Linked DNA regions of Anolis sagrei. Each later gene encodes a partner of the first gene's protein in a complex. Links are inferred from orthologs where the notes say so. Each region holds a gene or a part of one and is shown on either strand. Other genes may lie near its edges.

Region 1 (7,514 bases):
CCAGCAACTACAACTCCCAAATGTCAAGATTCTATTTCCCCCAAACTCTACCAGTGTTCACATTTGGGCACATTGAGTATTCGTGTAGAGTTTGGTCCAGATCCATCATTGCTTGAGTCCGCAGTTATCTCTGGATGTAGGTGAACTACAACTCCAAAACCAAAGGACACTGCCCACCAAACCCTTCCAGTATTTTCTGTTGGTCATGGGAGAACTGAGTGCCAAGCGTGGTTCAATTCCATCGTTGGTGGGGTTCAGAATGCTCTTTGATTGTAGATGAACTATAAATCTCAGCAACTACAACTTCCAAATGAAAAAAATCAAATTTTTGAGTGAAAGACATACATTGGGTTGTTAGGTATCTTGTGTCCAAATTTGGTGTCAATTCGTCCAGTGGTTTTTGAGTTCTGTTAATCCCACAAACGAACATTACATTTTTATTTATATGGATTCTTACTGGTGTTAAGTACCATTTCCATATTAACTTATAATTAACTTATAATTAAAACAGCAATTCCTAGACGACACAGCCGGACTAGATCCCTTCCAGTCCGGCTTCCGTGCGGGGCACGGGACAGAGACTGTGCTGGTCTCCATCACGGATCACCTTCGATGCCAGCTTGACCAGGGCAGGTCAGCGCTGCTTGTGTTATTGGATCTCACAGCAGCATTTGACACAGTCGACCACAATCTTTTGACCCACCGCCTTGCTGTTGCTGGAGCCAGGGGGACAGCTTTAAACTGGCTGTCCTCCTTTCTTCACAACCGTGGACAGCGAGTGGAGAGGGGAGGCCTGGTCTCTGAGAGGTCCCCTCTATCTTGTGGGGTTTCTCAGGGGGCCATTCTCTCCCCCCTGTTGTTTAACATCTATATACGTCCACTTGCTCAGCTGGTTCGAGGTTTTGGGCTTGAGTGTTATCAGTACGCCGATGACATTCACCTGGTACTGAAGATGGAAGGCCGACCGGACTCTGTACCCGATTGTTTCCATCAGTGCCTCGAGGACGTTATTGGATGGCTGCGTGCCAGCAGGTTGAGGGTGAATCCAGCAAAGATGGAGATCCTATGGCTGGGTCGACCGGGCAGTGGGGACATCCAGCTGCCTACCCTGGTGGCGAGGCACTACGCCCGTCATCATTGGTAAAGAGTCTGGGAGTCCTTTTGGACCCTCTGCTGACGATGGAGGCCCAGGTCTCCGCCGTTAGCAGAACCGCCTTTTTTCATCTGCGGCAGGCTAGACGGCTGGCTCCCTACCTGTCCAGGGACGACCTAGCTACAGTGATCCAGGCCACGGTCATCTCAAGACTGGACTACTGTAATGCCCTCTACATTGGCCTTCCTCTGTCGGTGATCCGGAAGCTCAAGTTGGTACAAAACGCAGCTGCTCGGCTTCTTGCGGGAATTCCGATGAGATGCCACATAACACCAATCTTACTACAGCTGCATTGGTTACCAATTGAGCACCGGATCACTTTCAAAGTGATGGTACTCACCTTTAAGGCCTTGCATGGTCTGGGGCCGATGTATCTGAGGGACCGCCTCACCCCCTACCAACCCCAGAGATCCCTCCATTCTGAGGACCAAGATCTATTGGAAGTCCCCAGTGTCAAGACCTTGCGCCTAACAGCAACCAGACGCAGAGCCTTCACAGCAGTGGCACCGTTACTCTGGAATACTCTGCCACCTGAAGTCCATGCCTTGCAGGACTTACCAGCTTTCCGCAGGGCATGTAAGACATACTTTGTTTCGACAGGCTTTTAATGTTTGATATTGCTATTTTTAAATTGTTTTAAATGGCTTTTAAAAAATTATTATTATTATTATTATTATTATTATTATTACTTTATTTGTACCCCGCTAGCATCTCCCGCAGGACTTGATGCGGCTTACATAGGCCAAGGCCTCAAAACACAATACAACAATACAATACCTAGAGCAAATTAAAACAGTTAAGCAGAAATAAACAACAGCAATAACAATACATCGAAACATCAAGACAATATAAAACTGGGCCAGGCCAGGGTAATGGGTACAAGATTAAAAGTGCTGATGTAGCAGGAGGTATGTAGGATTATAAAGTAAGTGTGGTGTGCGGTGTGCAGCAATCTTAATTCTGTTAAAGTGCTTCTAGGACTTGGTATTGGGGGTTCCTAATCTGAAAAGGCACATCGGAACAGCCAGGTCTTCAAGTTCTTTCTGAAGACTGCCAGCGAAGGGGCCTGTCTAAAATTTTGTTAGATTTTAGCCATTCTTGTAAGCCCCTCCGCAGGCCCATAGCCAAAATTTCGTTTCGGGGGGGGGGGGCTGATTTTTTTTCGGGGGGGGGTTCGGGGGGGGCTGAGTTTCGGGGGGGCTGAGTCCGAGTGAACGAGGGTCTAGCCTAGCAAACTTTTTGTATCATTACCCCAATACCCCCATGCATATGGGATACATTGAGTATGGTGATCAGATCATGATATGAATAAACATAACAGTTTAAATAATGCATCAGTAAGGCCTTTTCGCGAACCACCATGAGAATTTCGGGGGGGGGGGTTGAAGCCCCTCAAGTCCCCCCCTGGCTACATGCCTGTCCAGATCCATCATTGTTTGAGTCCGCAGTTATCTCTGGATGTAGGTAAACTACAACTCCAAAGCCAAAGGACACTGCCCACCAAACCCTTCCAGTATTTTCTGTTGGTCATGGGAGAACTGTGTGCCAACTTTGGTTCAATTCCATCGTTGGTGAGGTTCAGAATGCTCTTTGATTGTAGGTGAACTATAAACAGGCCGGTAGCGAAGGGGGGGGGGGGTTAAGGGTTCAACCCCCCCCCCCCCCCCGAAATGTTTCAGATTTAAAAAAAAAAAACTGGTTTACTCATGAATTTGAACTGGTTAACCAAATCCCCATGCTAAGTCTATGAGATGCAAAAAATCAAGAGTCCCTCCAGAACTGCAAGCACTATCTCAAGCAAATATTAGCAATTTATTCACACTGTCATTACTTGCAGCAATAGCCAATGTAGTTGTTCTGGTACAGCTTTATTTGCTTTGTATTAAATGTTTGCTTGCAGTCCTAGGTTTCAGGGACTCTGCAGAAAGGTGGCTTCTTTGGTTGCAGTCATAGGGCAAGTCACCTGTCCATCATCGTTAAATTTTGGTCCCGCCCCTTGCTCAGGGCAATTGGGAAGGGAAGGGAGCCATTTTTAGTTAGTCTCAGCAAAGTAAGCTTATATATAGGATGAGTGCAAGCTTCCCCTGTACAAAAGCTTCAACCCTTAAGACTTTCCAGGGGAGAAAGGTCTTAAGAGTCTCCAAAGAATTTCCAGGACCAAAGAACTCCAGCTGGAGAACATCTACTGCCTTGCTAGTAGGTCCACTCGGCGTTCGAGACGCAGTTCGACCCGGTAGCAGAGCCCACATCAGTAAGGGTTAGATTACAGTTAGCCTGGGAGAAGTTACGAAGGGGATTTTTCTTTAAAGAAGAAGTTATTGAAGACAGTTGCCTGTCCTTCGTGGGCAAGATTAGGAATTCACCAGTTGCCTAAAAGCTTGGAATCATTTGCTTAACTTTACTGAAGACAAGAGAAGTTTCTGTTTGATTGTTCATTAATAAAAGACTTTGTTGTACTTCTCAAGCCATCTAAAGATTAGGTTCTTGTGGGTTTTTTCGGGCTATAGAGCCATGTTCTAGAACATGGCTCTATAGCCCGAAAAAACCCACAAGAACCTAGTGATTCCAGCCATGAAAGCCTTCGACAATACATCTAAAGACTGTTTGTGGTGGAAACCTCTGAGAACTTCTCTTTAGGCCCCCTGGCTTCCCGCTGGGCAAAGGTTGCACATCCTGTTCTAAAGACAATTATTTACAGGCCCAATGCTCGACAGAACAGTACTGAAGCAACCAAGTTGGGGGGGGGGGGTGGAATGTTGAATGCTCTCATTAAGGAGGCCAGACTTGGTGGAGGTGGTTGACAAGGGCGGAGCTGCAGGCTATTGAAGGCTGCTCTGCCCCCTGCTGTGCTCTTTGCCCCCCCCCCTGCGAAATTTTCAACCCCCCCCCCCCAAATTTAAACCCCTCCCAAAAAATTTTTCTGGCTACGGGCCTCACTATAAATCCCAGCAACTACAACTCCCAAATGAAAAAATCAAATTTTTGAGTGAAAGACATACATTGGGTTGTTAGGTGTCTTGTGTCCAAATTTGGTGTCAATTTGTCCAGTGGTTTTTGAGTTCTGTTAATCCCACAAACAAACATTACATGTTTAATTATATGGATTCTTACTGGTATTAGGTACCATTTCCATATTAACTTATAATACTTTTTCCAAGCAGTCTTCAAAGGTTCTTCCTAATGTTCAGATTGAATCTCCTTTCTTGGAGTTTGAAGCCATTGTTTCAGAAGAAGGGCAGATAGGAGCAGCAGCAGGTGGATGCTGATAGGATGATGGCCTTGGAGGCTGCCCAGGAGGAGGGAGGATGGGAGGCTGGTTTGGGGCAACCCAAGTAAGGCTGGAGCCAGCCCTCCATCTCCCCTCCTCCTCCTGGGCAGCCCCTCCCTCCCATCTGCGCATCCCCCTTGGGCTCAGCCCACCCCACGCCCACCTTGCCTTCCCTCTCCCTTTGGCAACAGCAGCAGCAGCAACAGCCACCACCGCAGGAGCCTCTCCAGCCTTCCCTGCTGCTGCCAGGAATTGCCTTGCGCCCTCTCTTCTTCCTCCATCCCCGCCTTGGAGAGGGCAGCAGAAGCCATGCCGAGGCGACGGGCGTGAGGAAGGGGCTTGTGCCAGCCCCCGGGGGCGCCCCTTCCTCCCTCCCCGGCTTTGGCACCATGAGCCCGGCGTCGTGAGCGCAGGCGGCGGCGGGCAAGGGGCATCTCCATGGTGCAGGAGGGCGGCATGTCACGCACACCTTACAGCTCCAGCCAAGACATCCAGATGGAGGTCTTAGACAACCCTGGTCTCCAGGTGAGAAGGGGGGGGGGAGCAAGAGGGAGGGGGGAACTTTGGAGGTGGAAATATCACCTTCTGGAAAAGGATGGATGGGGAAAGAAGGGGCCAAAGGAATCAGGGAAGGGCTGATCTTCATCCACCCTTTTTCCCCTGGTTGAATTCGTCCCTGCTCGCCCACCCCTCCCTTGTTTCTCAACACGTACAGACAAGCAAGAGAGAGATGATGCTGGCAAGGCTTTTGCTTTGAGCCTCCCCAGTGATGAACAGCCATCTAAAGGGGTTAGGAAGTATTTGAAAGGCAACCTCAGAGGGATGTGGGATTCCTAGATTGGGGAGAAGGGAGGAGCAGCAACAGAGGCAGGAATGGCTGTTGAGTCTAGCAGTCCCTTTGATGCCTAGGGATTGCAACTTCCACAGAGAGAGCCCTTCTTCTCCCTTGGCACTAAGGAGAAGGGCTCTCTGGTGTCTAACTAACCTAACTAGGTTGTTGTGGTTTTTTTGGGCGATATGGACATGTTCTAGAAGCATGAACTATGATAAAATAATTTTTAAAAAATTTAAAAAAGAAATAAAATTAAATTTAAAAAAGAAGCATTCTCTCCTGACGTTTCGCCTGCAACTATGGCAAGCACCCTCAGAGGTTGTGAGGTGTTATCTGCTTTGATAATCTGGTTCTAGAAGCATGAACTATGATAAAATAATAAAAAATATATATCTAAAAGAAATTAAATTAAATTAAAAAAGAAGCATTCTCTCCTGATATTTCGCCTGCAACTATGGCAAGCATCCTCAGAGGTTGTGAGGTGTTATCTGCTTTGATAATCTGGTTCTAGAAGCGTGAACTATGATCATATATATATATATATATATATATATTAAATTTTAAAAAGAAGCATTCTCTCCTGACGTTTCGCCTGCAACTATGGCACGCATCCTCAGAGGTTGTGAGGTGTTATCTACTTTGATAATCTGGTTCTGGAAGCATGAACTATGATAAAATAATAAAAAATATATATTTAAAAATAAATACAATTAAATTTTTAAAAGAAGCATTCTCTCCTGACGTTTTGCCTGCAACTATGGCAAGCATCCTCAGAGGTTGTGAGGTGTTATCTACTTTGATAATCTGGTTCTAGAAGCATGAACTATGATAAAATAATAATTATATATATATTTAAAATAAATTAAATTAAATTTAAAAAGAAGCGTTCTCTCCTGACGTTTCACCTACAACTATGGCAAGCATCCTCAGAGGTTGTAGGGTGTTATCTACCTTGATAATCTGGATTATATGGCAGTATAGAAGGGGCCTTAGTGTGTCATACAGTCTGCCTTGTATTTCCCAACTAACCAAATGTCTTGTCGAAGGCTTTCATGGCTGGAATCACTGGGTTGCTGTATGTTTTTCGGGCTGTATGGCCACATTCCAGAAGCATTCTCTCCTGACGTTTCGCCTGCAACTATAACAGGCACCCTCAAACCTCACAACCTCTGAGGATGCTTTGTCGTAGATGCAGGCGAAACATCAGGAGAGAATGCTTCTAGAATATGGCAATATAGCCCGAAAAACCTACAGGAGGTTGCTTGCCATAGATGCAGGTGAAACGTCAGGAGAGAATGCTTCTAGAACATTGCATATAGCCCAAAAACCTACAGGAGGATGCTTGCCATAGATGCAGGTGAAACGTCAGGAGAGAATGCTTCTAGAACATGGCCATATAGCCTGAAGAATCTACAGGAGGATGCTTGCCATAGATGCATGCCAAACATCAGGAGAGAATGCTTCTAGAACATGGCCATATAGCCTGAAAAACCTACAGGAGGATGCTTGCCATAGATGCATGTGAAACATCAGGAGAGAATGCTTCTAGGATATGGTCATATAGCTCAAAAAACATATAACAACCCAGTTATTCCAGCCATGGAAGCCTTCGATAAGACATTAACCTAACTAGCTCGCTCGGGGCTTCCGCTTCCTGATTTGATTCAGACACCAGGAAGGCCCAATTAGTAAACAGCAAAATAAAGCAGGAGAGAGTCATAAAACTGGTTGGGTTCCCACCCTGCACTGTTTCGTGCAAGCGGATGATCTCAACTCAGTGCCTGTTCATCTATCTTTCCAATCCATCCATCCACACATGCAAACAGATGACAAAGCCAGACCCACAGAGGGACTTTGACAGTGTGCCTCTATAAAGTTAAGGGAGGGCATGGGTGATTGGGTGGGTATTATTGGATGCTATCGAACACATAGGAGCCCCAGTGGCGTAATGGGTTAAAGCACTGAACTGTTGAACTTGTTGACTGAAAGGCTGGCAATTCGAATATTAGGAGCGGGGTGAGCTCCCGCTGTAAACCCCAACTTCTGCCAACCTAGCAGTTCGAAAACATGCATATGTGAGTATTTATTTACTACGTTTATATACCGTCCCTCTCAACCGACTCGAGGCGGTTTACAGTCGTTACCAAGACCATAAAATACAATTAGAATACAATGAAAAACATTAAGATAATGTAAACCATAGCATCTATATAAATAAAAATGTAATGTTCGTTTGTAGGATTAACATAACTCGAAAACCA
Region 2 (7,379 bases), on another chromosome or scaffold:
TTGTTATGTAGCCCAGTGCCTTGCAGTGAATTATGAGACATATTTGAGGGCATGTTTTTTTTAATATGGAACATTGACTTGCCTTATCATTCATCATGTGAAACCTAAACCATCTCAAAACTTTCCTCTAAATGGAAGAGTAGACTGGTAATGATCAACATCTAGGTTTTCAGAACACATACCCACTATTACATACCTAGTATTAATTACTAGAAAATTTAACAGCATTGTTTGGGTTGAAACTGATAATTTTGCTTATTATGTTAATTCGATTTATTTTTAATGGTATCAGTTTGGAAGTTTAAGATTTCTTCCATTAAAAATAAACAGGTGCTGACGGTTTTTCAAAGAAGCCAAAGTTTGCCAATAGATCCAAAATTTTAACGGATTCTTGGGGGATGTCATTCCCTGACATCTATATATACACATAGGTTGGTTATCTGGTACACTATAGACCAGTGGTTCTCAACCTGTGGGCTGTGGCCCAGCGGTGAACCACGAGAACAAAAATCCAGTCTGTGAACCTCCTTCCTCTTTATTTATTTATTTATATTTCCGTTCCTTTCCACAGAGCTAACCAGCCCTGCCCCTTTTGGTACTAATATTGGAGAGTGGTCCCTGGTCAAAGTGGTCCCTGGTCAAGTGGCCCCATTCAAGTGGGGCCTGGTCAAAAAGGTTGGGAACTACTGCTATAGACTGTAAGCTATAATTTTGGAATACTTTATCAGTCATTCAAATATTTATAAAACATGTTTATATAGCATAAATTAATGGGGACTATTCCCATTTATTCACACATTGTTTCTTAGTTACTGATAAAAGGAACAAGGCTCTACTGAAGCTGTGATTATGTACACAGTTCTTAATATATCTAGTTTCCAAACCACTTTGGGCTTTAAAGGTCATATCTAGCACTTCAAACTGAGCTTGGAATGGACCAACAGCAAAACTAGTGATCAAATCAGTAGGCTTCAAGTGGTATTGTAGCTGCTACATTCTGCCTTAGCTGAAATTTCCAAGCACTCTTCCAAGGTTGTCTTGTTTCAGTAATCTAATCTGGATGTGACCATGACATGTGCTCCCTTATTCAGAAAAAAGGCAAAGTAGCAAAGTTTTCTTAAAAGTTCCATTCCCTCTGTTCTCACTTGAGAATTTCCTATTTATTTAATTTTTGTAGAATTGCTTCCTGACAGCAACTGAGCTATATAAACCTGCGGTCTGAATCACTCCAGTTTTGTTTGCTTATATGTAGGCTAGGTTATGTATATAGTAATGTATATAGTGGTAAAAGTGATTACTTCAAATGATTTAAATAATTTATGGGATTATCTACTTTGTTTCTTCTGGAAACGTATCAGTAAACATCACCAACCATGCATACATATATAAAGCAAATTATAATAGTTTACAATATTGCTTTAATTAGTGTTAAATAAATATTATATCAAATCAGAACAATGCCATGTGAGAGGAGATGGACTGAAGTGCCTAAGATAACATTGCTATGTGGACTGTCAACAGTGAGGCTTGATGGCATTACAATTGGACGTGGGAGGAATCTAAGACAAGTGAAAGTGGATAGATACTCTGAGCACTTGTTGTGCATTGGAGATATGAATGGCATTCATAAAACTAAACAAAACGTATTGCCATATATCAGATTGTTCCTTTTTGGATTTCTCAACATGTGTAACACACCACTCTAGTCTAGATGTATATTTTTTATTAAGCACATTCTACCCACTGGAGGAATCCTAGATTTTGTTGCGATAAGAAAAACCATAAGTAGCTGATAGTAGTTAAGGCTGGGGAGAAGTCAGATTGCTTACTATCCCTGTTCCATAGTGTTAGAGAATACTCATCAAAATAGGTTCTAATTCTATCCAAACAGGTAAAATGGAAACTCCACATGACTTAAAAACTTTTCAAAAATGAGAGATTCGATAATTAATAACTTAATCAGGTTTAACATCTGTTAGTCAGTTTCAAAAGTCTACAAGCCCTTTGGTAAGGTGCTTATGCACAAACCACTTTAATTTCAGTGGGGACAGATTTTTTTAAAAATGCATGTTAGGAAACAAGAGTGCAAAACATAAGATCTGGCAAAAGAACAGCCAGGTTATTTTTAACAGTGGAAACAAAATTATGTAGTATAGCAATGTTGAGGTTGAAAATAATGACAATGCACAAATTAAATGGTATCTGATATGAATTATATTCTGCATTCACTAGTCCTCAGTGTATCAAATTGTCTTTCAGTAGGTTCTGCATAATAAATAAAATTTAACATTTGTATAAATTGCATTATTCTCTCAAACTAGTACATTCCCTGCTCCTGAACTTTGTTTGTTAATACGGCATTCTAGGTCCATCTCTCCCCATTCCAGAGAAATTCACTTTCATATGTAATCTAGACAAAAATACTAGACATGAAGTATTCAAAACACAACAGGATTTGTTATGATCCCCCCCCCCCCCCGAATTCCATAGATCAGTATGTTGCATATTTTGCAGCAAGGGGTTGAAATACCTTATCAGTTACTCAAGTATTTATAAAACATGTTTATATAGCATAAAATCCAAGTTTATCTTTATGAGGTTATACACAGCATGCCACTTTGAGCCCCTTACCTCCAGGTGGACTATAGAAGCAGCTGAGTTGGGTTTCATGGACCATCTTGCCAGTATACTTTGTTCCTGGCTCCCCTGGATGGTGCGTGGGGAGCGGACGATAAGCCGAGGTCGCATGCCGAACCAGGTTCTGAAACATCCTGTTTCTCCAAATGAATGTTTCTAGGCTCAATAGATAAATAGCATCAACAAACTCTCCTTGATAGTGACAATTCAGGAGACTTCAGAGATATCCAAACCTAGTTGCCACAGAATTGGTGAAGTCTAAAACTTTCCAACTGTGCAGACTTTTCAGTCATGCACTTTAGAAAGCAAGCACCATCTCATGCATTGCCCATCTGTTTTTTCAGTCTCCTCCTCCCCATTTTTTTTTTTTACTTTCTGTGTCTCGCACTTGCTTAAAAGCCCTCTCCCCTTCAACTAGTTTTACAGGAAAACTTGGAATGAGAAGTTAAGATAACGGGCTCCATCTGCCTGTCAGTTCATCACCTCCCTGAGTCATGGAGGTCTCTGCTTTTCATACATCACCACCACCGTCTCTCTGATAATGTAACCATGTATTTGGAGCAAGTTGGCTTCCTAAAGGGGTTGTTTGATTTTCTGGGCTTCACCCAATGTGAAACTGTCTTTTTCCAGAGATATAAACCATACATTTCTTTAAAAGGGATCCAGTCCAATATACTTATGAATAGTAATAATAAACACAAGGAAATTAAGAGATGCAAAATGCCATGTAGATCATGCAATGAATGTCTAGATTCTTTCATCTATGAGCAACATGACTGATGTAAAGTGCCTCCTTTAGTGCAAGTACTGAACACTAGCCTTCACATATTTTCCAGCAATTAAAAAAATAAGGGCAGACAAGCATCCCCTTAAAAGGAAAGGAATGCAGTCTACTCTGTAACTATGCAACCTTTCCAGTGAAATTAATCTTGAGATTGCAAATGGCTCCAGAGATTGGCCTCAGAAGATGGTGAAGGACTGTGTCTGGGACTGTAAATCATGATGGAACAGCATGCTTTAATGGCTTTGTTGCCTTCGCTTTATAGCCAGACTTTGTGCAAATGAGTAATAAAATTATATCTGGTTACTAGTCTGTTTCACTAGAAACTGGATCTCATAGTATTCATTTCTTATAAAATAATGTACAAGTGCTCAAGCTACTGTTAAAAATCCAAGTTGCTTTTAATATTGTCTTTTTATTTCTTAAGTATCCAAATTCTTTGGGATTTGGCCATTGGACATGATTTTTGGACATGATTATTACTGTTATAGGGCTATAAATCCTGTGCACCTAACCATGACATTAGTAAGGAAATGAAGTTTACTTGTTTTAGGTAAAGTATATAATTTATGCCATTCTTTGTGGACAGAGATATTTAAGTATGTAACCATGGTCATAGAATAATAAAGTTGGAAGAGCCCACATAGACCATCCATTCCAACTCCCTGCCATGCAGGAAAAGCACAATCAAAGTATCCCTGACAGATGGCCATCCAGTTTCTACCACACTCAGAGGCAGAAAGTTCCACTGCTGAACAGTCAGGAAGTTCTTTCCTAATGTTCAGATGGAATCTCCTTTCCTGTAATTCGAACCCATTGCTGTGCACCCTAGTCTTCAGGACAGCAGAAAACAAACTTGCTCCCCCCTCCCTATGACTTCCCCTCACATATTTACACATGGCCACCGTGTCTCCTCTCAGCTCCACATGCCCAGGTCTTTACGCCACTAGTCCTAGTCTCCAGGGCAGCAGAAAACAAGTCTGCTCCCTCTTTCTTATGAAACCCCTTCACATATTTATATATAGCTATCATGCCTCCTCTCATCTTTCTCTTCTGCAGGCTAAACATACCTAAAACATACCTAGTTCTGTATTGTTGAAGGCTTTCATGGCAGGAATCACTGGGTTGTTGTACGTTTTTCGGGCTGTATGGCCATGTTCTAGAACATGGCCATACAGCCCAAAAAACCTACAACATGCCTAGCTCTTTAAGATGCTCCTCATGGGGTATGGTCTCTAGACCTTTTATCCTTGTGGTTGCCCTCCTCTGGACGCCTTCCAGTTTGTCAGTATCTCTTGCTGCAGTACACGGTTGGCTCATATTCAACTTGTCCACAAAGACTCCAAGATCTTTTTCACATGGGCTCTTGTTGAGCGAGGCATTACCCATTCTGTATCTCTGCATATCATTTTTTTTTGCCTTAGTGTAGTATCTTAAATTTGTCCTTGTTGGATTTCATTTTGTTAATTTTAGCCTAGTTCTCTAATCTGTTAAGGTCATTTTGAATACTGATCCTGTTTTCTGGAGTATTAGCTATCCCTCCCAATTTGGTGTCATCTGCAAACTTGATAAGCACACCCTAAATCTTCTGAACTCTGTAGCACTCCACTAGTCACTTCTTTCCAGGATGAAGAGGAACCATTTGTCCTTCCCAGTTCTCAGTGTTTATACCACATTTTTAGGGTTAGCTTTAAACCCATCTTTAAATTACCTTTGAAGAATATGGCACTACACACATCTGCCTTTCAACTGACCAGGAGCATGGATTGGAATGATTGCATAGATTACATTTCAGTTTGTTTGGTTGTGTGGAGCATTATTTCATATACCTCTAAGTACTTACGAAGTATCTTTAAGAAGTCAATCAGTTAAGTACAAAATGGTCCTGACATGAAAGTCTTATGTGGTGAAGGATTACATACTAGAGGAGGGGGAAACACTGTTGATGAAAAACTATAGGAAAAAAAAAACATTGGTGTATTCAGCATTTCAAAATTATTACACCTGGCTTCAGTTTTCAAAGGGCTCATTTCTCATTAGTTCCACTGACTTCAGGGCACATCTTTGATATTAACCAGCTTATTTCAGTCTTTTGCTCTATTCCAGTGAACTCTTATCTGCAACTGAGGTTCATATTCATCTATGGAAAGTAAGACTGTGGAGGCTTAAACTATTCTGCAGCTGTTCATAGAAAAGGCCCAGCTGCATATGACTGTAACTGAGCTGCTGAGTCTTGGGCTGCAGGGTACAAGATGTATCAGAGTCTTTCAAAATAGGAGGTGGAACCAAATCTTATTCAACCATGACTTATTCCAAAGGGAAAGATGAACTTCTGAGTCATCCCTAAAAAAAATTGCTATCAGCAAGTTTGTCTCAGTTCTTGGAAATGCTTGTTAGTTAAAGATAGCAGATGAAACAGAGTATGCTAGCCAGGATAAAACAGGGGAAACGTTCTCTGTTCTTTTCTAGGGCTGAATCTTCACATGGGAAATAATGGAGCTTTACCATGATTTCAGTCCTGATATATCACACACTGTTCTTCCCAATTCATTTTGAAATCTGATCTTTTGCTTAATGTTTTGAAGCAATAAAAATAACACCTCCAGTTTAGTCTGGTGTTTTTGAGGAATAATTTGGGTTTTTTTTCCTATGTGCCTTGTAGCCGAGATTGGGATTGAAGCAAAATGGGGTGAGATGTGTGTATGTGTTGGGAGGCCCTGTTGTATCTACCTTGCCTGTCTCTTGAGGAATCTGTATAATGACCAAGTAGCAATAGTAAAAATAGGCCATTGAGCAGCAGACTGGTTCAAGATTGAGAAAGGACTATGGCAGGGCTGTATACTCTCACCCTACCTATTCAACTTGTATACAGAACACATCAGGTTTTGTGCAGGGCTTGATGAATCCGAGGCTGGAGTTAAAATTGCTGGAAGAAACATTACCAATCCTAGCTATACAGATGATACCACTGTGATCAGGCATGTAGCCGGGGGGGGGGGGGGGGCTTGAGGGGCTTCAGCCCCCCCCCCCCCCCCGAAATTCTCATGGTGGTTCGCGAAAAGGCCTTACTGGTGCATTATTTAAACTGTTATGTTTATTCATATTTATTTATTTACTTTACTTTACTTTACTTATATACCACTGTTCTCAGCCCGAAGGCAACTCACAGCGGTTCACAACCAAAAAAACAGTATAAAAACATTTAACAACTTAACAAATTACATAAATTAGACAATTACTACAGTAACCAATCACTATCGTCTCATCATCAAAACCATAATCCAGATTCGTCATCCATTGTTCCATTCCTGTGTTCATTACCAATCATTGCACTAGTTATTTGAATGCCTGCACAAACAGCCAGGTCTTCACTTTTTTGCGGAATACCATTAGAGATCTGATCACCATACTCAATATATCCCATATGCATGGGGGTATTGGGGTAATAATACAAAAGGTTTGCTAGGGTAGACCCTCTTTCACTCAGACTCAGCCCCCCCTGAAACTCAGTCCCCCCGAAAACCCCCCCTGAAAACAACTCAGCTTCCCCCCCCCCCCCCCCAAAATCGAAATCCTGGCTACGGGCCTGACTGTGATGGCTGAAAGTGAGTAGGAGCTGAATAGCCTTACAACCAAGATGAAAGAAGAAAGTGCAAAAGTTAGGTTGCAATTAAATATTTTTTAAAAAAACCAAGATTATGGCAATCAGACTGATTGATAACTGGCAAATAAAGGGAGAAAACATGGAAGTAGTGACAGACTTTGTATTTCTAGTTAGCACATATGATTTCAAGCCACATCCACTTTCCTGGGTGTAAGCACTATTGACATTAATGGAACTTACTTCTGAGTAGACCTTCAATCCTATACACATATTCCTTGAGTTATCCCCACTGTACTCAGTAGGCTTTACTTATGAATACACATGCACAGAATTGTGCTATTTAAGGCTATAATTCTG
Region 3 (7,886 bases), on another chromosome or scaffold:
GTTAAGGCTGGAGATTTGGTCATTTTCTGTTTTTAAAAGTTTCATCCAGTTCAAGCAAACAGAATTCACGTGTATAGATCCATTTCTAATATGCATTCCAATAAAGTTTTGTCTAACTCAGCATAGGACCAGGGGAAGCAATAGGTGATATTTCAGGGTATAACTCTCCTTAAGGGTTTCCAGATTTTGGGGAACTACTGTGCTTTCCTGGTTCTCCAGATAAAGACACTGATCTCAGGATGAGCAATGCTGGAGTGATATTTTTAGGTATGAGGTGGCCTTAAAATGTGGGTATGTGCCTCCACCCATTCCCAGTTGATATTGTGATTCATTGGCTCGTCTTAAAAGCGTTGCATGCATAATATGTTTGAGCAGCCTCGGTACACCGAATAGGGGAAGGCGCTAGGGTGAGACACAGTGAGTGCTCACACTGAGGCTCAACGTGGTAATTTGGAGCAAGGCCCAACCCTATGACATCACAAGAATCCTCTCCCTGGTTCCAGGTTTTGGCCCTGAAATCTCTGGGATGCTGTTCGCTTGGCAACCTTGCTCTTATCACTCTCAGGTGGCATATGATCAGTGTTCAAGGAGCCCCTGGTGGCGCAGTGGATTAAACCCCTGTGCCGGCAGGACTGAAGACCGACAGGTCGGTTCGACTCCGGGGAGAGGCAGATGAGCTCCCTCTGTCAACTCCAGTTCCTCATGCGGGGACATGAGAGAAGCCTCCCACAAGGCTGATAAAAGCATCAAATCATCCGGGCGTCCCCTGGGCAACGTCCTTGCAGACGGCCAATTCTCTCACACCAGAAGCCACTTGCAGTTTCTCAAGTCGCTCCTGACACAACAAAAAATAAATAAATCAGAATTCAGAGGTTAAAACAGTTTTAGTTCAAAAAATCTGGATGGCACAGAATGAACAGCACCAAGGGTATTTATCAGTTATATGGATTTATAACTAATCTGAGTATTCCTGCATTACAGGAGGTTGGATTGAATGTGCCTTGTGGTTCCTTCCAATTATACGATTCTGTATCATCTATTCTAAGGTCACAGATCCTTGGAATGTTGTTTAATTTGAGTGAGTGCTAAGAAGCAAAAACCCATAGAGCTATAATTTCCAGGATTCCTGAGAGTTCACAACTGTTGAAGAAATTTAACTCTGCAATAAAATCTGCTCAAAGGATGGCATCAGACTTAGAAAGCTATGATGATATATGTTCCAGAGATGGAGTTTATCTGATCAAGTGAGACAGTACAGAAGTTTCTCGACAGATTGACACTCTTGTTTTCCATGCCGCACTGTTTTTCTCAAGAGGGTATGAGACAGAGTCTGGAAAAGTTTGAGCAGGGAGGTTAGATTACAATTCACAAGACACACCAGCATGGCCAAAGGGGAGTTGCCAGGAGTAATTCATTGTCAAAAGAAACTTGTACACAAACGGAGTGATACGTCATCATGTGGTCATTAACATTTGATGAGCTCAGACAGCATCCAGCACTGAAAAGGTACAAACAAATACCACACTCCTTTATAAACTAGATGCTGGGAAGTCCAGTTCCTTAATCATGGATGTGTAAGGACAATCTGTGCTAACTCAAAAATGAGGGAAAGGCATTCTCCACACATTCTTTATTATTCTTACTCCAGATACTTTAGCTTAGTGTAAAAAATAGTGTTGATGCTTACCCAACACAACTTCAGCCCCAGGTAAAAATCCAAATATATGCTTCTAAACATCTCACTAAGCTGACTGAAAATACATCAAGCTGCACATTTTTCCAAAATTTTCTAAAAGTATTATTAGTAATGAACAGAAAGACTGGACCACAATATCACACATGGAAACAATTCTTGGCCCTCAAGGCAATTCTTTTCTTTTGCTTCCCAGTATCCCATTTCCGAAGCCTTTATGACAGTCAAGGAGTGGCTAAACATGACACAAGGTACTTGTGTGCCATTACCCACGTCATTGGCGGGACGTAAGTGGAAAAGCATTTTGGCTTTCCATTCTGTAACTGCTCTGGTGTCTGTGTGTCCACAAATGGATCCAAATCTCATAGGAGCCACCCATCTCAGGTTCCTAGAGATTTCATCATGGCTGCCTGGAGCTCCACCAGAAACTCTCCATTACATGGTTGGGACACCAAAGAACAGCCTCCAGCATAGAACAAAGAACATCACATGCACCATATTGGTGTAAAACTCAACTTCTTGCTTTGAACATCTGAAATAGCTGCTTTCCCAAGGACAAAATCTTCCTTGCTCTTCAAAGAGGAAGGACAAGCCCGCATGTAATCTCCTCAGAGCTTCTACAAAGGGCCAAAAACGTCCTTCCCTGTCTTTTCAAAATGGCAAGTGACTGAGAGGTACTAAACTTTCCCTGCTTAGCAGCAAATTTCATTGGAAATTATCCGTCTGCAGAAATCAGGTGACAAAAATGAGCATGCTTTGGGAATGTTTCAATCTTTGTTTACAAAAGCTTTGGTGGGAGAGTTTCTGTATGTGTGAGAATCCCACACAATCCTTAACTGATAAGACTATAGGAAAACAGAACATTTCTGCAGTATTATCTGTCCTTTGAATCTCTTCCTACCCTCAGCCAGAAAAGGAGTGTCAACCATTTTATGTTTCAACAGACTGAAAGACATGCATTTATCCATCTTATGAAGCCAATCAGATTAAAATGGGTAAAATACACTGGCAATCAAGAGGACAGCTTTTCGACAGTTTGCGTGAAAAACAACTGTCATGTTCATAAGCATTAAAACTCCAAAAAAATTTCAGGTCTCCATGTAGGGGGAAAACAGACTATACCAGTACCCAATGGGGGAAAAGTGGAAAGCACTTACCTCCAAGAATAAAGCTACCACTTTCCAGCAGATTAAATCCTTCTGAAAAATATCAGACACTCCTGAAAATTCACTTTCTTCTGTCTGGCCCAATATCTCACTTTAGAGATCCATAGGAGATAAAGAGTTTCCCCTTGCCAGGACTTAATGTATAAAAGTTTGCTGTCCCAGCACCGCGAGGAACTCAAGTGACAGGGTGAGAGGGGAAAAGACAGCTGCCATCCATTGGGAGGGCTGACACAGAGAAATTGGACACTGGCAAGGAGCTTTAGCATGAATAGTAGGCCAAACTGCCTGAGACAGCAACGCAACAGCTCAGTCCACTCCCTGGGGATTGGTAGGAACTGTCAAAATAGTGTGTATGAGAGAGAAAGATGGAACCTAACTACGACTCATTTGCCTATGAGGTCTCAAAGAGACATTGCTGCCTGGATCACACATTCACCAGCTCAGATCTACAAATTTGTACCTCATCAGGTCATTCCAGAACAAGATGGCAAGGGAGGGAGAGAGGCAGGAACATGGAGAAGACATTGGACTAGAGCTTTGAAAAACTGCTGGGGTTGGGGAGGGGTTACAATTCCTTGTCAACCTAACCCATTGTTCTCCCCTAAGGATTTTGGGAGTTATAATCCAAAAAGTTACTTCAACAAGCTGTGCACAACGCACATACACACAATCCTAATATTTCCTCTATGACCTTTTCCGTGAAGCTTATCTTCCTTACAGATAGAAGTGCTTCACAAAGTACAATAGAGTTTTGCTTATCCAACATAAATGGGCCAACAGAATGTTGGATTAATGAAAGTGTTGGATAATAAGGAGGTATTCAGGAAAGTGCCTATCAAATGTCAGATTATGTTATGATTTTACAAATTAAGCACCAAAACATCATGTTTGGCAACAAATCAACAGAAAAAGCAGTTCAATACATGGTAACGTTATGCAGCAATGATTGTATTTACGAATTTAGCACCAAAACATTGTAATGTATTGAAACAGCTGTGGATCGAGGCGGGAGGCAGACTGCATTAGATAATATAGAACGTTGGATGAGCGAAGGCTAGATAAGCAAGACTCTACTGTACAATGAACAAGACTGACTTCCACATTTATTTATTTTATTTAGGGCATTTGTATCCCATCCTATCTCAACCCCTGCAAAGGGACTCAGGGCAGCTACCAACTGGCCCAGCATAGTGCCAACAACAGAGTAAAACAAGCATAAATATACATATTATAATAAAACAATATAAAAACATTTAAACAGTTCTCCAATTTAAGTCATCATCCTAAAACCAGTCCAACATAGTCCATTAAAACCATTTCTTTGCCAGCAAATCAGTCTAATGTGTGAACGCTTGATCCCACGGCCAGGATTTCACTTTTTTCCCGGAAGGTCAGGAGTGATGGAGCAGTTCTGATCTCATTTGGGAGGGAATTCCATAGCCGAGGGCTACCACCCTCGTTCCAGCCAAATGCGATGGCAAAGGTGGAGGGACTGAGAGCAGGGCCTCCCCAGATGATCTTAAGATCCTAGGTGGTTCATAGAGGGAGATACGTTCATCAACTGTAAATGTGCAAAGTACTTCAATGTGGAGGAATAAAGACATCATCCAAGTACTGTAGAGACAGCATTATTCTTAGAAAATGACTAAGGCAGTAATGGTGGGGTGGGCTGAGAAAATGTAGTTTGCTTAAGGCTGCCTACTAATTTGTCGGCAGAGCAAACAGAATCCAAGGCGCACCTAGGACCCTTCCACACAGCCCTATATCCCAGAATATCAAGGAACAAAATCCCACAATATCTGCTTTGAACTGGGTTATCTGAGTCCGCACTCAGATAATGTGGGATTTTCTGCCTTGGTATTCTGGGATATAGGGCAGTGTGGAAGGGCCCCCAGTTCAAATGTCAGTTTCTCTGGCACTGGGGCTATAATCTTATAACCTCTCACATGGAAACAGTTTCCACTCAAGTTAAAGGGACATATTCCTGAAGAGACATTGGGAAAATTGAAATAAAAGCTAAATTTGCTATATTCTGTAATGTTTTGGTAATTCAAAGGGCCCTTCCACACAGCCCTATATTCCAAAATATCAAGGCAGAAAATCCCACAATATTTGCTTTGAACTGGGTTATCTCAGTCCACACTGCTATATATTCCAGTTCAAAACAGATGTAGGATTTTATTCAGCTGTGTGGAAAGAACCTTAGCCTTGGTATCAGAGAGAGGCGATTAGTTGTAATGGGTCAATGATGCAGTTTCATTGCTCACAAAAAATTATGCCTCTTCTCAAATCTAGAAGCCAAATTAATTGTACAAAACATGCATATGACATTTTACTGTTTTGCATAATTTATAAAGAATTCTAAGTTACTTGGCAAATTCAATATGGTTGTTTTTGAAGCACAAAAACATAAAACGGTTCTACAAATCAACATATTCTGATTTGCAGATCTTTTAGATTAGGGCGATAGTATAATTGAATAACGAATCAGATAACGCTACTATCTGTCTTTTAAAGAAGGACTAAATTAACTTCTTCAGCATTCTTTGATTAATTTCTTCCAACAAGCAGAAAAGATCGGCCAAAGTCTGCATTTTACATTTCCATATAGTTAAGATCTGATACATTGATGAAATTACATTGCAGCCTTCAAACATACCCCATTTAGACATTTTATCTAGGTGAATATCTAAAATGAATAGATTCTGGAGCAGAAGCTTGCCTGGAAGTCAGTCTCCAATCTGGATGTTCTTAACTCTCAATTCTGTATGTTGGCCAGTGCTGTGATGTCTGCATATTTGAGGGAAGTCATTTCATCCATTATTCCAAGTTTGATCCATGACTTTGAGAAAATCAAACTAAATTTTGATCCCTTTGACTCCATCTCACTTCAAAATCCAGAAGAAAGTGGATTTGTGCCTGCCCACTGAATAGATTCTTTCATACCAATATTAAACACATAACAGCTTCTCTTATGCAATATACCAGGTTAAAAAAAATCCTTAAAGTTTTGTCCCCCAATTACAAAATCACTAGTGTTCATTTTTGATCTAGTCAAGACCCTTTCAAAATGCTTTTCAAGTCAGTGGTGGTACAGTCAGCCCTCTTTATCCACAGATTATGCATTCACAGATTCAACCATCCATGGCAAATACCAAGGGTGCTAAAAATACATTTTAAGATAGGAAAAGGCAGAATTAAAATTGTAATAATATATATCACATCACAAACACAAAAGATAAATACAAGTCACATTTGGCTTCTGCAATTACAAGAGGTGCTCAAAATAGTTACCATCAGCTTCCAGACACTTCTGATTATGGTGGACTATGCCTGAGCATCGTTGACCAAAGTGTGCACTAGTATCGCTGTGCATGCCATTTCAATTTATTCCCAAAGTATTGCCAGTGTAGCAGGTTTCTATGGTACATCACATCCTTTAAGGTCTCCACAGATCAGTGGTTCCCAACCTGTGGTCAGTGAACTGCCAGTGGTCCAGAATGAAAATATGGTCTGCGGCTTAACCATTACCATACAGTTGCCTCAAAACCACGAAGCAACAAGAGTGATTGGTCTTGCAAAACCCTCTTATAGTCCTAAGGCAATGGGGATGTCGGTAGGGGAGAGGCTGACTACCCACGAAAGATTACTACTACCACAGCTGGCACGTGTTCTGTATCAGAAACTAGAGCTGATGTGGCCTTTGCAATGCAGTTTTCTGAATCAGCACCCCAAATAACCAAACAAATCCAAAGTTGACTAAAAACTGATTCGTAATCCTTTTGGTACTAATGTTGGAGAGTGGTCCCTGGTCAAAAAAGGTTGGGAACTACTGCCATGGAGTGTTAAGTCAAGGGGTGTTAAGTCTGGAGAACGTGGGGGAAATTTGGCTGCACCTCTTCATTCTTCTGTTCAATTTAAACTGTGCTTTGTCAGATCAAATCATTTTCTCCACAAACTCATCCTTCTATACTATTTTTTGGAACCAGTCACAGTACTGAACCCTGAGATCAGGGCTGTCTTCATTCAGTGCATGTAATAATCTTGAGGTGAAAACTTCCCAATTTACTGATTTAAGAATGTGCCAGCTAATTCCTGTCTCATGTGCAATTTGATTGGTAGACATCTCCGGTGAGTGTGTAAACTGTTCCAACATCATAGGAGAAGCAGGACTTGTTGCTGTGCAACGTCTCCTGAATCTTCCCTTGTGCACATCACACACAGCATCATGTGTCTCAAACTGATCAGGAACAACTGCATTTGTTAGACACTTTGGATGTTCTGTTGCCTCTATTGTTGTTTTACTTCCACAGCATTCTCAAACTGCAAATAGCATTTCAAAATGGTTTTGTGCTCCTTAAACAACAACCATGCTTTCAACATTTTCTTTGATCACCTGCCTGTCTCATAGTGATGATAGTATTCATTTGATTAATGCCATCTTTTGAGCGAATGTCATACTACACATTGCTACTGTAGTTCAATTCACCATTAAAAATACATAAAATGTGTATACATTTTGCACCCTCTGTATTTAAAAAGATTCCCAAAAGCAAACCTTAATTGTTCTATTTTATATAAAGAACACAGTTTTGCTACTCTGTTGTACATAATGGGACTTGAGCATCCATGGATTTAAGTGATCACTGGGAGAACTTATGTATTTTAGAACCAACCTCGAAAGGATATTAAGGGCCAATTATACCAATTATTGACTGAGGTTGCAACTAGTTTTTATCCTCAGTCTAATGATGCTGCTTCAAACAGCAGCCCAATGTCAATTTCTCCCATCCTTCTCAGAAAGGTTCAACCATCCTTAAAACATGACACTTCTCTACCTCACAAGTCAATGATGCAAAGTAGAGACAGGGAAACACACAGGAAATTAGTTCTACCTTCTTGTGGGGTTGTCCTTTTCAGCAACGGCCTTTTGAACTGACACCATACAGTCATTATCTCCCCACCCAGGAGGAAATCAGAACTATGCTTTTCAGTTTTTAATTAAATTGCACCTATCCAGGAGGTTG

Evidence for each region.
Region 2: CACNB1 (region 1) and CACNA1C share a complex: the UniProt entries of both Homo sapiens proteins name them as parts of the calcium channel complex. The link is inferred for Anolis sagrei from reciprocal best matches to the Homo sapiens genes CACNB1 and CACNA1C.
Region 3: CACNB1 (region 1) and STAC3 share a complex: the UniProt entries of both Homo sapiens proteins name them as parts of the calcium channel complex. The link is inferred for Anolis sagrei from reciprocal best matches to the Homo sapiens genes CACNB1 and STAC3.

What each region holds. Positions count from the first base shown.
Region 1 is NC_090026.1:43,878,204-43,885,717, forward strand, and holds the start of CACNB1 (voltage-dependent L-type calcium channel subunit beta-1), read left to right. Parts: upstream 1-4,491; 5' UTR 4,492-4,859; coding exon 4,860-4,946; intron 4,947-7,514. UniProt on the Homo sapiens protein: Regulatory subunit of L-type calcium channels. Regulates the activity of L-type calcium channels that contain CACNA1A as pore-forming subunit.
Region 2 is NC_090025.1:179,275,773-179,283,151, reverse strand, and holds the start of CACNA1C (voltage-dependent L-type calcium channel subunit alpha-1C), read right to left. Parts: upstream 3,114-7,379; 5' UTR 2,771-3,113; coding exon 2,632-2,770; intron 1-2,631. UniProt on the Homo sapiens protein: Pore-forming, alpha-1C subunit of the voltage-gated calcium channel that gives rise to L-type calcium currents. Mediates influx of calcium ions into the cytoplasm, and thereby triggers calcium release from the sarcoplasm.
Region 3 is NC_090022.1:185,456,521-185,464,406, forward strand, and holds the start of STAC3 (SH3 and cysteine-rich domain-containing protein 3), read right to left. Parts: upstream 3,077-7,886; 5' UTR 2,851-3,076; intron 1-2,850. UniProt on the Homo sapiens protein: Required for normal excitation-contraction coupling in skeletal muscle and for normal muscle contraction in response to membrane depolarization. Required for normal Ca(2+) release from the sarcplasmic reticulum, which ultimately leads to muscle contraction.